Linked DNA regions of Drosophila melanogaster. The protein of the gene in region 2 interacts with the protein of the main gene of each other region in a pairwise test. Each region holds a gene or a part of one and is shown on either strand. Other genes may lie near its edges.

The links.
Region 1: the proteins of CG7856 (region 2) and Kat60 interact in a two-hybrid assay, tested with the Drosophila melanogaster proteins (one large-scale study listed by BioGRID).

Annotation. Positions count from the first base shown.
Region 1 is NT_033777.3:5,226,789-5,234,051, reverse strand, and holds Kat60 (katanin 60), read left to right. Parts: upstream 1-1,842; 5' UTR 1,843-1,983; coding exon 1,984-1,995; intron 1,996-2,738; coding exon 2,739-3,059; intron 3,060-3,426; coding exon 3,427-4,030; intron 4,031-4,223; coding exon 4,224-4,345; intron 4,346-5,215; coding exon 5,216-5,775; intron 5,776-5,861; coding exon 5,862-6,060; 3' UTR 6,061-6,763; downstream 6,764-7,263. Other genes in the region: Mms19, read right to left, coding at 1-259, 318-667, 878-1,261, 1,326-1,410; Vps37B (vacuolar protein sorting 37B), read right to left, coding at 7,138-7,263.
Region 2 is NT_033778.4:6,056,511-6,061,362, forward strand, and holds CG7856 (uncharacterized protein), read right to left. Parts: upstream 3,049-4,852; 5' UTR 2,926-3,048; coding exon 874-2,925; 3' UTR 847-873; downstream 1-846.

The sequences.
Region 1 (7,263 bases), on a different chromosome or scaffold from region 2:
TCCCGGTGGCAGGATGGAAGAGCCGCTGATTGACATCGCTGAGATGCGGTAGAATTACGCCCAGAATAGAGCTCTGGTAGCTGTGGCTTATATCCGGTATGTGAGCAGCTCTCTCCAGGAGCGCAGACAACGCCTTAAGGGAAGCTTTCAGTATCTCCTCATTGTCATTTCCTGGAAAAGTCTCTGTTTTCAGAGCCTGCCATATCTGATCGAAGTGCGGCTCCAGAACGGAAGGCGGGAACTTCACGGCAGCTTGGTGCTGTAACAATAAATAGCATGTATAAAAAGAGGCATTTCAAAATGTTACGTTTTCTTGCCAGCAGTTCTATGGAGTCCAGTTTGGCAACCAGCAACTCACTCTCCAGCTTTTCTATGGCCAGTACCACTGTGCCCTCAGCGAATTCGTTGTTGGCTACCAGGCAGTTAGTCAACTTCTTGGACAATTCATCACGGGTTATGGCCGCTGGATCCTGCTTGCTGGGATTAAAGTCGATTGGAAAGTAACACGCAAAGATCTCAAACATCTCTTCGGCCAAATGCAGCAGCGGATACGTTGACAAGAACTCGGGCATGAAGCTGAAAATGATGTCAAGGTTGCGGGGGTCACGCTCGCCGTCAATGGAATTGATCAGGCCGTAGACGAAGTCACCGGCCATCGCTTGCAGCTCTGTATCGGGAAGAAAATTGATTTGTTTGAGTTGTAATATTGTGTAATATTTTCTAAAAATAACGGAAATAAAAGGTACTAAGATTGTCGCAAATATCTGTTCGACTAGTTAAAATCATCTAATTATAACTTTTTTGCACACTGACTTGTTTAAATCGGATTAAAGCAATGTCAATGTATCTTTCATGCTAAAATGAAATCAGGGCTCACCGTCCTGGAAGTTTTCCGTCAAGTACTGGAAAATGTGGAACAGCTTGGTGCGGTCGCTCCGCGTCTGCGACTGGCAGGTGGTGTGCTCGAAGAATGACTGCAGAATCTGGGGAATCTGGGCGCGCGGTAGAGCTTTCATGTGAACCAGGGCGTCGATTCCATCGATAATGGCTGGCATTACGTTGTGATGGTCGCGCAGGCGGTCCATGTAAAAGGTGCTGAGGAACTCCAGCTGCCGCTCTTGCAGCAGATCCTGGGGCAGTGCTATCAACACGGCGGAGAGCAAGTTGGTTCCGGCCACACGCTCCTCCATGTCCGGAGAGGACAGGGCGAAGCCCAGTGCCTCGGCCAGAGCAGATATGTCATATGCCTTGGCGGTCAGATCTGGAGGAAACAAAGAATCTCTATGAGAAGGGCACATTCGACACGGATGCGGGTGTAAACCTGCCCTTGGCTATCTGTGTGGCGGAATTCACAAGCTTCTGGTCGCTTTTCAGAGCCTTTTCCAGGGTGGCGCGCGTGGGCGTTGTCATTGCGGCACCGTCGCTTGAGTGGTGTCTAAATTTAAATGAGTTTAAGCACGTTAAGCCGAAATGTTAAGAACCGATAACCGATGACTTGTCGTACTGGCCTTATCTATATCACAGCGATGCCAGACTGGTGTTACAGTAGTGCAAATGTTTTAGCGATTAATATAGCTTTTATTGCAGTGGCGCTCAGGGATGGTAATGTGTGGCTCGGAGACAAATTCTAGAACTGGAAAATATACTTACATATTGTATATTGATTTATAATCGATAGACACGATACGGAGATTTTCTTTTTATTTTCTTGTAATTCGTTGTAAATTTAGAAATATATTTTTAGCAGCTCTGGAAACAATCGATAGTCGCCGACTGTTGCACACAGGGAACGCAACAGGGTGGTCAAGTGTCCGCGCCGATGTATCGATAAGCCCCGCATCACCAGAGCACGCACATCACTAGTATTACAAACACAGGCAGGCAGCAGTTTATTTTAGCTACCGCAGCACCTTAAACTCTGAATTAAATAGTTTACGCATTCATTTTGCGCTCGGAACGCCGCGTAACAAAGCTAGTACACTAATGTCCATAACCGTAAGTCGCCCGCGAACTGCTCAGCTGCAATTGTAGGTGTGCGGCGGCGAGACGTCAGCGCTGCTGTTGTTGTTGCTCTTGTGGTTGCTGCAGCTGCAGACGCCCCCACATAGCTGGAAATAAAATAAGAAGCATAAGAATAAGAAATACGGTGAAGTGTCGAATGCAAAGTGCAGTTTGCTGTGTCCAGAGGCTTGCAATTAACTCAAATTCTATTTAGATCGCATTAATTCGACCCATTGTGCGCCCGTGTGCGTGTGTGCGAAAGTGTGTGTTGTGTGCCGCTGAAACCTGAGCTGAGTGTGCGTGTGTGTGTGCGAGCGTTAATTTTGTTGTTTTTACTATTGTGTTTTTTGTTTTTTTTTTTTTTTTTGCATACGACGATTTGAGTCGAGTTGAAAGAATCATTCAAAGCCAACAAGGTCGAACGCCTTATTCGGCTCATAACTACCTAATACATTTTCCAATCGGCATTTGGCCCACGTCCCGCCTTGGAGGCGGAATTGAAAATCGGAGCGCGTTGCGTTTAAATTTGGTGACAAGTCGGCGGCTGTGCGCCTGATAATTTATAATTAGCAGCTCACTTGGGTCGTTGCCACTGGCATCTTCTATTATTCGCAATTGTCGCCGGGTTTTCCACTTTATTCGCTTCTGGCTGGGAGGCGCACTTTCCATTTTTACCTGCAAGGCGAGCCAGCGAATGACGAAGTCGCTTCCGTTCTATTGTTCCCCTTCCCACCCAGCAACACTTGGAGAAACTCACGCACTCGAGCGCTTTAATTGGAACTAATCTCTGTCTCTCGTTTTTGGCTACAATGACGACAACCTGTTCCGATCGCCAGTTACTGCGAGGTGGCAAGCAAAAGACAACCACTTGCGTAGGAATGACCGTAATGGCCAAGACTACGTTTGAAGAAATATGCGAGAATGCCAAATTAGCACGGGACATGGCTCTGACGGGCAACTACGACTCAGCCTGCATCTACTATGAGGGCCTCCAGGGGCTGCTCGCCCGCCAGCTGAAGGCCACCGCGGATCCGCTACGCAAGGGCAAGTGGAGCATGGTAAGACATTCCTATCACCACCTCCAGATACTGTCAACTACCATGCCAATGAATGCGAATGGTGACGGTTATGACAAACAAAGGACTTAGTCATAACATCTTGTCAACGCCATTCAAAATTGCCCAAGAGGTTTTGTGTAAACGAGTTATCTAGATCGTTAACGTGCATATAAAGATTTAATTTAATCAGAACACTACCGAATGACTAAAATTTGAATTACAAAGTAATTTCTAGCACTACTGGCACAAAGTAACTGGCTAAAACTCCAATAGATCATAATAAACCAAGTATTTTCAAAAAGTTTAATATTTACCATACCGGACGATTTCATTGACATCATTTAACTAACTGATCTTCGATTTGCAGATCAACCAGCAGATTAGCCAGGAGCACGCCAAAATCAAGGCCATTCAGAGAACCCTACAAGACATCTCGCTGGACCTACAGTCAACCAAATTTGCACACAAGCTGCGACACCAGCTCAGCGAAGAAAGCACCACCAGTAAAGATCCATCTGCCTGGTTCAAGCCGGACCCCGACATTTGGACGCCTCCGCCCAAGGATCCAGATGTGTGGGGTCCGCCGAAGCCACCACCCACCACTCAGGCCGTTGGCCGAAGAGCCGCACCGAACAACCGCCGCACCACTCCGGCAACGCAAAACAGCCGCCCCAGCAGCACAATCCCGCAGAGCACTGCCCGGAATGGTCCGGCCTCGACACGCAATTCCCGCAACTCAACGTCCGCCACAGCACCGAGCGGCGGAGCACGCACCACCAATGGAAGGGCTGGCGGTCGCAAGCTATCCACATCGAACACCAACGAGGCTAGGGACGACGACTCCACCGCTGCAGGCAACAATGGCGGAGCGGCTGGCGATGGAGAAAACGGCGATCCGCAGGCCGCCCAAGAGGAAGAGCGCAAGTTTCAGCCCAACAACCACATCGAAGCCGAGCTAGTCGACATTCTTGGTAGGTGCCTAAATCGTTGCCGCAAGGTTTGCCTCGTTCAAAATTTGGTGATGTGCTAGTCTTATTTATTAAGCAAAGCTAATGCATTACTCTACTTGCTTTAAGATTTGTGGCTATTTCAAAAATGGTAGTAGTTATGAAAATTTGGGTCTAGTATAGCTACATTTATTACATGCCAACGCTCTCTTTTCAGAACGTGATATTCTTCAAAAGGATCCCAAAGTGCGCTGGAGCGACATTGCCGACCTGCACGACGCCAAGCGGTTGCTGGAGGAGGCCGTCGTGCTGCCAATGCTCATGCCGGACTACTTCAAGGTGCGTCACCCCCGCTGTTTGTTTTCTGTGAATCACATTCTGCCAAACGCTTATCTCGCGATGGGTCAACAAACGCGCTTTATTATAGTGCTCAGGGCAATGTGTATTTGATCAACTATTCTGAACTGTCACGAAATGCATCGCCTTGCAGCTTTATCCCTCTTAACTAGGTGGTGGAACTTGTCAACACATTCTACTTTTACTTGGGGCGGTTTAAAAGTTTCCATTGTTGAAATTATGCTGATTATGATGTACCTCTATCTATGTTATCTTATCAAACTATGTGTGCGTTCAAAAGAATATCGATCCATAATAACCTGTCGAAAAAAAATAAATAATTATGTATATATTATGTATATATATGGAATGCTGACCATGTGTTTCTAACGCCTTTAAGTCACATTAAAAATCACTGATCCAAACACCTGAGACTGAGCTCGATTGCTATGTTGACCGTGTTGTACCATATATGTAAGAATATTTGTTGTTTTCAAATATTTCCGTCCAACAAATATTTTCCCCATCTAAAATGTGGATACCATGAAATTTTGCGTGGGCGAAAGATGTTTGAAATGGGCATCAGAGAAGCCTACAGCACCATTTTTCGATTTACCATCTTACTGAATAAACAATAGCAAGAAAGATAGACTTAACGTGGATAGTAGATAATTAGATATTTATGTTTGATTGGAAGAAATGGTACTCACTTCTCCAATGTAGATTATTTAATTAATTAGAATTAGGCAAATGACACAGCCTAAAACAGTGGTTCAGATCAAAACAATCGGAAAGTATACAATTAATATATACTGAAAGTTTGTAAACATTTTAAAGCAAAAGTACATAATCACTTCTTGCTTTCTACAACAGGGTATCCGGCGACCGTGGAAGGGCGTGTTAATGGTGGGACCTCCAGGCACGGGCAAGACAATGCTCGCCAAGGCGGTGGCAACCGAATGCGGAACTACGTTCTTCAACGTGAGCTCGGCCACGCTGACGTCCAAGTACCGAGGTGAGTCGGAAAAGATGGTGCGGCTCCTGTTCGAGATGGCCAGGTTCTACGCGCCCAGCACAATTTTCATCGACGAGATCGACTCCCTGTGCTCGCGCCGAGGATCGGAATCAGAGCACGAGGCCTCGCGACGAGTGAAGTCTGAGCTGCTGGTCCAAATGGACGGCGTGGGCGGCGGAGAGGAACAGGCCAAGGTGGTCATGGTGCTGGCCGCCACCAACTTTCCTTGGGACATCGATGAAGCGCTTCGGCGTCGTTTGGAAAAACGCATTTACATCCCACTGCCATCGGATGAAGGTCGCGAGGCGCTGCTCAAGATCAATCTCCGCGAGGTCAAGGTGGACGATAGCGTCGATCTTACCTACGTAGCCAACGAGCTGAAGGGATATTCCGGAGCTGACATCACAAACGTGTGCAGGTGAGTTCAGAATACACTAATTTAAAATGGCGTAGTCAGTTCCAAATCATGTCAATGGAATAAAATGCGTGCTCTTCTTTTTCCAGGGAGGCCAGCATGATGTCGATGCGGAGAAAGATCGCAGGACTGACCCCAGAGCAGATTCGGCAGTTGGCTACGGAAGAGGTGGATTTGCCCGTTTCCAACAAGGATTTCAACGAGGCCATGAGTCGCTGCAACAAGAGCGTGTCCCGGGCAGACCTGGACAAGTACGAGAAGTGGATGAGGGAGTTCGGATCGTCATGATGGCGCTGCAGACGCGAATGGCTAGCGATTGTAGGAGTATATTTTTGAATAGCCTTAAACACGCGCTTAAGTCATTAAGCTTTTAAAGTGAGAACCGAACCGATCCGAGCCGAACGGAAGAGTTGAACATATTTTATATATAACATTTTGCAAATACGATACAATCTATATATTTACATATATACATTGAACCGGAGGCCGTTGGAATTAGAAAAGACTAACCGCTCTCAAAGAGGAAACACAAATGGAAAACTGAAATTGAAATTGAATTGCAATGAAGTCGAGAGATAGGCAATACGTTTATGTATACATAGCGAAAACCACCCACACACTCCATGAGCACAAACCTTCCAACAAATCGTTAACCCACAATCACACTATATGCAATAAGGAATCGCTTTAATCGCCGCCTAGCCTTGGCCTCATACTCCCACAATATGCACACTCCAATCCGTATCATTTTTTATCGAAAGTTTTTATTTTAACAAGAAATGTCCACTGTCTAATATTAATGTTAATTTTCGCTTAATTTATACTTTCACATATACATATATATCATAGTTTAGTGCAGGCAGAGATGTGTGTACCAGAAAGTTCCCTCTGATTTGCAATTAACCCACTGTAATCAGAAGATGAAACTGAAGCAATATGTACTTAAAGAGAGGATTCTGAAATTTTAAACAATAAAGAAGTTTTTAACTTTACGGCATTAAGAGTTGTGACTTTTTTGGGTGCTTTCTGCAAGGATAAATAAGGATAAAGGTCTTGCAAATGATGCTGATGATGTTATGATTTGATTATTATTACAATTAAATCACTGTTACGAAAATGCTGTGATCCCCAAAGAGAATTTATATCTAGATACTAAGCGGATGTTGCATTTGTATGACACAGCGGTAATTAATCTTTTCTAGAAATCAAGAGTCAGGGAAAAGCACTTTATTATGAAATCCAAGAACGTTTATCTGATGAAAGCACCCTTCGTTCACCGCTTACCAAATGTACAAACTTGCCTGCTGCAGACTGATGCGCCATGGCAGTTAATTCGCTGAGGACCAAGGACCAAGGACCAAGACCTCAGTACGGTCTGGATGGCGGTGGCATGGGCATCAGGGGACCCATGATTGGGTAAGGGGCGGAGCCCCCAGACGCGGGATAGAATCCGCTGGAGGGCACGTTTCCGTAGGCTGGCAGAGAAGTATT
Region 2 (4,852 bases):
AGTAATTGAAAGTGGCCGCGAGATGCGACCATAAAAACTGTGTTTTCGCCGCGTGGCAACATGTAGATATGTACGTATAAATACGTATTGATATATCTAGAGAGGGCTGAAAGCATGAACTGCTGACTTCGGGAAATAACAGCGATAATTGAAAATTATCCAAATAATAAAAGTAGGCCCCTGTTTATTTCGGAACCAATCACGCGCCAAGGGAAACCAAAACAAAGTAAATGCAAAACGCTTCAATCAGAACGCGCCCAGTGAATCGTGGACGGGAGATTCTGATTCTCGAGGGAGCACTGTTGGCACTGCTGCCACAGCTGTCCATCACATTGTCGATGGAATGCTCACTAGTCCCCAACGAAAGTGAAAATTAATTAAAATACTGAACGGTTTGGGTTTCTCGCCCGTTCTTTCCTCTATGAAAGTGCCAGTCCGCATATTTTTGGTTTTCCTTATTTCCATGGTGAAGCCAGCTGAGCTGAGAGCGCGGAATCCAAATATTTGCCAAATAATTAATCATGCCACTTTGCGGCCCAAAATCTCTGACAGATCAGCGCGAAACGCCTTCGTCAGTACCAGTCCCCCCACGCCAAGCCAGCCTGCCTGCAAGCCACTGATAAAGACGCGCGGGATGCTTAGCGCCCATGTCTCGTTGACTGATGGCCGCACCAGGCCCACGATTCGTTTTGAATATCTCGCAAAACGTGGTGCAGGTGGGAGCCGGGCCACTGCTTTTGCACTGAGAGTTTAGTGCGCCGATTGGTCATCACTTCTAAATTAGCCTAATCAATTTTCACCCACGCAGCTGTTCCTGCCGCATATCCACTCCCAAAACGGACTGCTGCTCATAAATCAGTTTATTTTCGCCAGTCAGCGAGCCTTTGAAGGCGTAAGAGTTTCGCGGGTGGGCATGTACAAGAACTCGCTGTCCGTCCAGAAATCCACCAGTGAACGCTGTTGCGGCCGGGCGTCCAGGTGCGCGAAGCACGTGGCGAAGAGCTGGCCCTGCCTGACGTGACGCATATGCCCGGCCGCCACCTCCGACATGAATTTGTCCACCGAGGAATCCTGACCACGGCTCCCACGCTCCGGCACCGCTCGTAGGCGCAGCGTGTGCGTCTCGGTGGTGTTCACGTCGACGAGCACGGTGGAGGTGGCCTGCCGGTTGTAGACACTACGGTTTGGCACGTTGTCCACAAAAACGTCGAAGTGGTCTACGCTGTCAAGGTCATGGGTGATCCAATGCAACGACAGCGAGCCTCCGCTCAGCCTGCACGCTCCACAGATGCTCACCGGGTAACTGAGACGCGCTGATGGAGGACGTCGTTTTCCATGCAGATCGGACTGAGCCTGTCGGCGCACTTCTGACGCTACGCATAGGTCCATGAAGAAGTTCTTGGCCAGTAGCTTCGCCTCTAGCCGCTTCTGTCCCTCGGGAGATTTGAAAAAGTCGGACCTCTTGACCGCCCGACGCATGTCCTGGCAATGGTGGCAATTGCAATCCTTTTGGTATGTCTCGCACTTGGAGGAGGCATCCTCGACACCGGCACTACTTTCTTCAGGCTGACTGTTCCCCGCCTCCTCAGGGCTGACCAGAGCGAAGGCGTACTCTACATTGTCGGGGGTGTCCTCGCTCTTTTGAAGGGGGCTCTCTAAGGCGTTTGCCCGAGAACCTCGACTTCGGCTTCTGGGTGAACTCCGGCGGTAGCTCTTTCTTGATAGGTTTGATCGGGCGGTGGTTTCTTTCCTGGACTTGGGCGCTTTAGCCAAGTCCGCTCTTGAATTAGAGGTGGCCGAGATTTTGGCAGTTACGTTGGGTAATGGACTTTGCTTCCGCCTCAGGCTCGATTTGCTCGATCGCCGTGATCCCTCAGAAGAGTTAGGCCCAGATGAACTAACCATTGCAAATATGGGTTCCATTGCAGGTGCTGACTGCTTATTTCGAGGTGACATCTTGGGCGACTTTCTGGGTGAACTAGAGCGCGAGGTCTTAAGTTTCTGGCGAAAAGATTTGCTGCTAAAGCGATTTCTGGAAGTAGGACGTCCTTGTGTGTCCGCTATCTTCTCCTGATCGGTAGAAATCTTCGAGGGACTGTTGTCGAATCCGCTTCCCAAAGGATTCTCCGACGAGCTCGCCAAATTGCATGTCACACTGTTCAATGCGGTGTTTGCGGAAGTGTCTGTTCGGTAGTCAGCCTCCTCAGTGAGACCCACTGGCGTGTAGCCAGTCAAAGGGGTGATGTCAGAGAGGAGGTTGGAAAGGTCGTAGTTCGTGTTATTGAATGAGCAGTTGGAGAAATGTGAGGTGGGCGTTATCTGGGAGGTGCTGGGCACAGTAGTGCGGGTGGGCGAGTCCGTCAGAAGCGTATCATTGGACTTGCTCATATAGGGATTTTCCTCATCTACCGCCTGGGAGCAGGAGGATGTCAACGAACGCTTGGAATTTGGCACAGAACCGCTGCGTTTGATGAACTTGTGAAAGAGATGTTTTACAGATGTGAAGGACTCTCCTGCCCTGACAAGGCCCACTGTGTTCTTAAGGAACATCCTGATCGAGGTGGAGGTCGAATCGAAGTTAACTGTATCACGAGAGTTTGAGGATCCACCTTGAAGCAAGGCACTGCTGTCCAGGGCTGCCGTATCTTCGGTTACTGACAACCTCGCCGCGGAGTGCTCCTTATTTCGTTGGTTAAGGGAACTGTTGCTGGTCGTGCTGGTGTTGTTCCGCTGACCCGAGGTAAGCGAGCTTTGGCTGCTCTCCGGGTTGACAACCACGAACACTGGCGGTGCGGGTTGCGTCCGAGCGCTTGATCCACTTTTAATGGAACTTTTGAGTGTGCGGCTGGGCATCGGGTTCCTCCTGCTGCCTGACGGAGCCGCAGGTATTTCGTCGGGCAACATGATGCTCACCCTCTTGGACATACTTATAATTTACGGAAGAGAGATTTGTGGTATCTTCTACGATTGCGAAATAAGTGTATCTATCGAAATATTAAGTGTGTAGGCTTTTCCCAAACTGCCAACTGACGCCAAGGCAACTTTACCTACCCTGTTGTCACCAGGAGTGTGCCCCTTTTATACAATGCAAAAGCGGGGCTCGCATTCAATCATCTTTAATGACGACTAATGGCTGGACCCGCGGGCGAGGTCAGGATGTCCATCCATGACTTGACTTTGTCGCCGGAAGTTGGTAGCCGAGAGACTGGCCCGCGATTGCGCATAATTTTGTCAATGTTCGGAGCATTCGGTGGGCGGGGCAAATTTGCATAACTCGCGGACCTTTCAGCTCGCATTAAATATGGCCAAGGCTAGCGTACGGGGTCCTCAAGGCCCCCTAGTTATATTTGACTCTAATTAGAGCTGCAGGGGAAATAATGAGTTGGCGTTGAGCGTTGGGTCGTGCCGTCGTGATAGGCCGTGAATTTAACAGAGTTTGAGGTGCACCTTTAAGCTCGCTTTTCTTTGAGGCTTATTATTCGGCTTGGCTGCTCATAAAAGAAGCAAATGATTAACCGACACGCCGCATTGCACATACGCCTCGTCGCCAGAGCTACAACCAGGGCACGCAAGTGTATTAAATTATTTTTGCTTTATGATTTATCTAACACGAAATACAACGGAACGCCATACCCTGTCTCTCTGGGCTACGTTTCGTTTCCAAAATCAAAAGCTCTTGCACAAGTCAAAAAAAGGAGAATCGCATTTTTTTCTCACCTTTATTTGTATATTGAGTCACTGTGCTGTAGAAGCAGTAATACATCGCTGGTGATAACATATAATATCTGGCTTTGCCTTTTGCTAAGCGGTTGCTCGCAACGGGGCATCCAAGACATCCCCTGCTCGGAACTGACTGCGGGTGGCAAATGCTTATTTCACCCGTGTCCCGACATTTGAAATTGCTTAACGGCTGGTTTTTATCTAGCACATACCAAATTCAGCTCGTACAACAACGCTAAATCATGAAAAAATGTTATTCCTAGGCCAAATGGCTGCCTCAGATGCGTTTTACAGTCACATCGCCGAATTTTAATACAAATAAAAAAAACTCTAATGGAATAAACGAAGGTCAAATAAAAAATATTGTGTATAATTGATTGAGGTCAATTGACGACATTAAGGCGCGTGTCTGGTCAGTCAAGTTTAATCATTTCTCTTGTTGATGGCTGTTGCCTGCCCAGTGATCCCATGGGATGGCCTCTTAAATGAAATGGCTTGTCTACGGCTAGGACTAAGCGGAAAATTTAACTTTTCCGCTTTCGCTCGTGAAAAACCTATCCAAAAGTTTGATACAGGAAAGAAAAAGTTTCCTGATTTAGAAAAAAGACTGACATATTCTTTGTTGTTGCCAGCAGCTATTTGACGTTTTCGGACTCTTTTTTTAGTTGACTCGCGAAGTGCATTTATAGTGGACAAGATGAATAAGTCAAGAAAAGAGCAGATTTTACCTTTAAGCCAAAACAGTTGATCTTTCAAAACCTAACCCTTTTAAATATGTTAAGTTGAGCGGGTGATAAAATTAAAAGGTTAAGACCCCAACGATTAAATGTGCTTAACCATGTGTTACAATTTTTCTACTCCAATTCTCCCCAAGACATGTGTTAAGACTTTTGAGCCTGGGCAAGAGTTCTATTTGCCGAAAATTACCCATGCCTCGGCAAAAGAGATTGGCATCGGCAAGGCCACGGATAAAACGCAATACACAACCTGAAAAGAAGATGGCGCCGATAAGTCGAAGCTTAGATACCCTTGCAATAAACACAAATATGTGTATTTAAAGCAAGAGAGAACGCTGTAGTCGACTTCCTCGACTATCAGATATCCGTTACTCAGACAGTAGGAATGGTCCTGC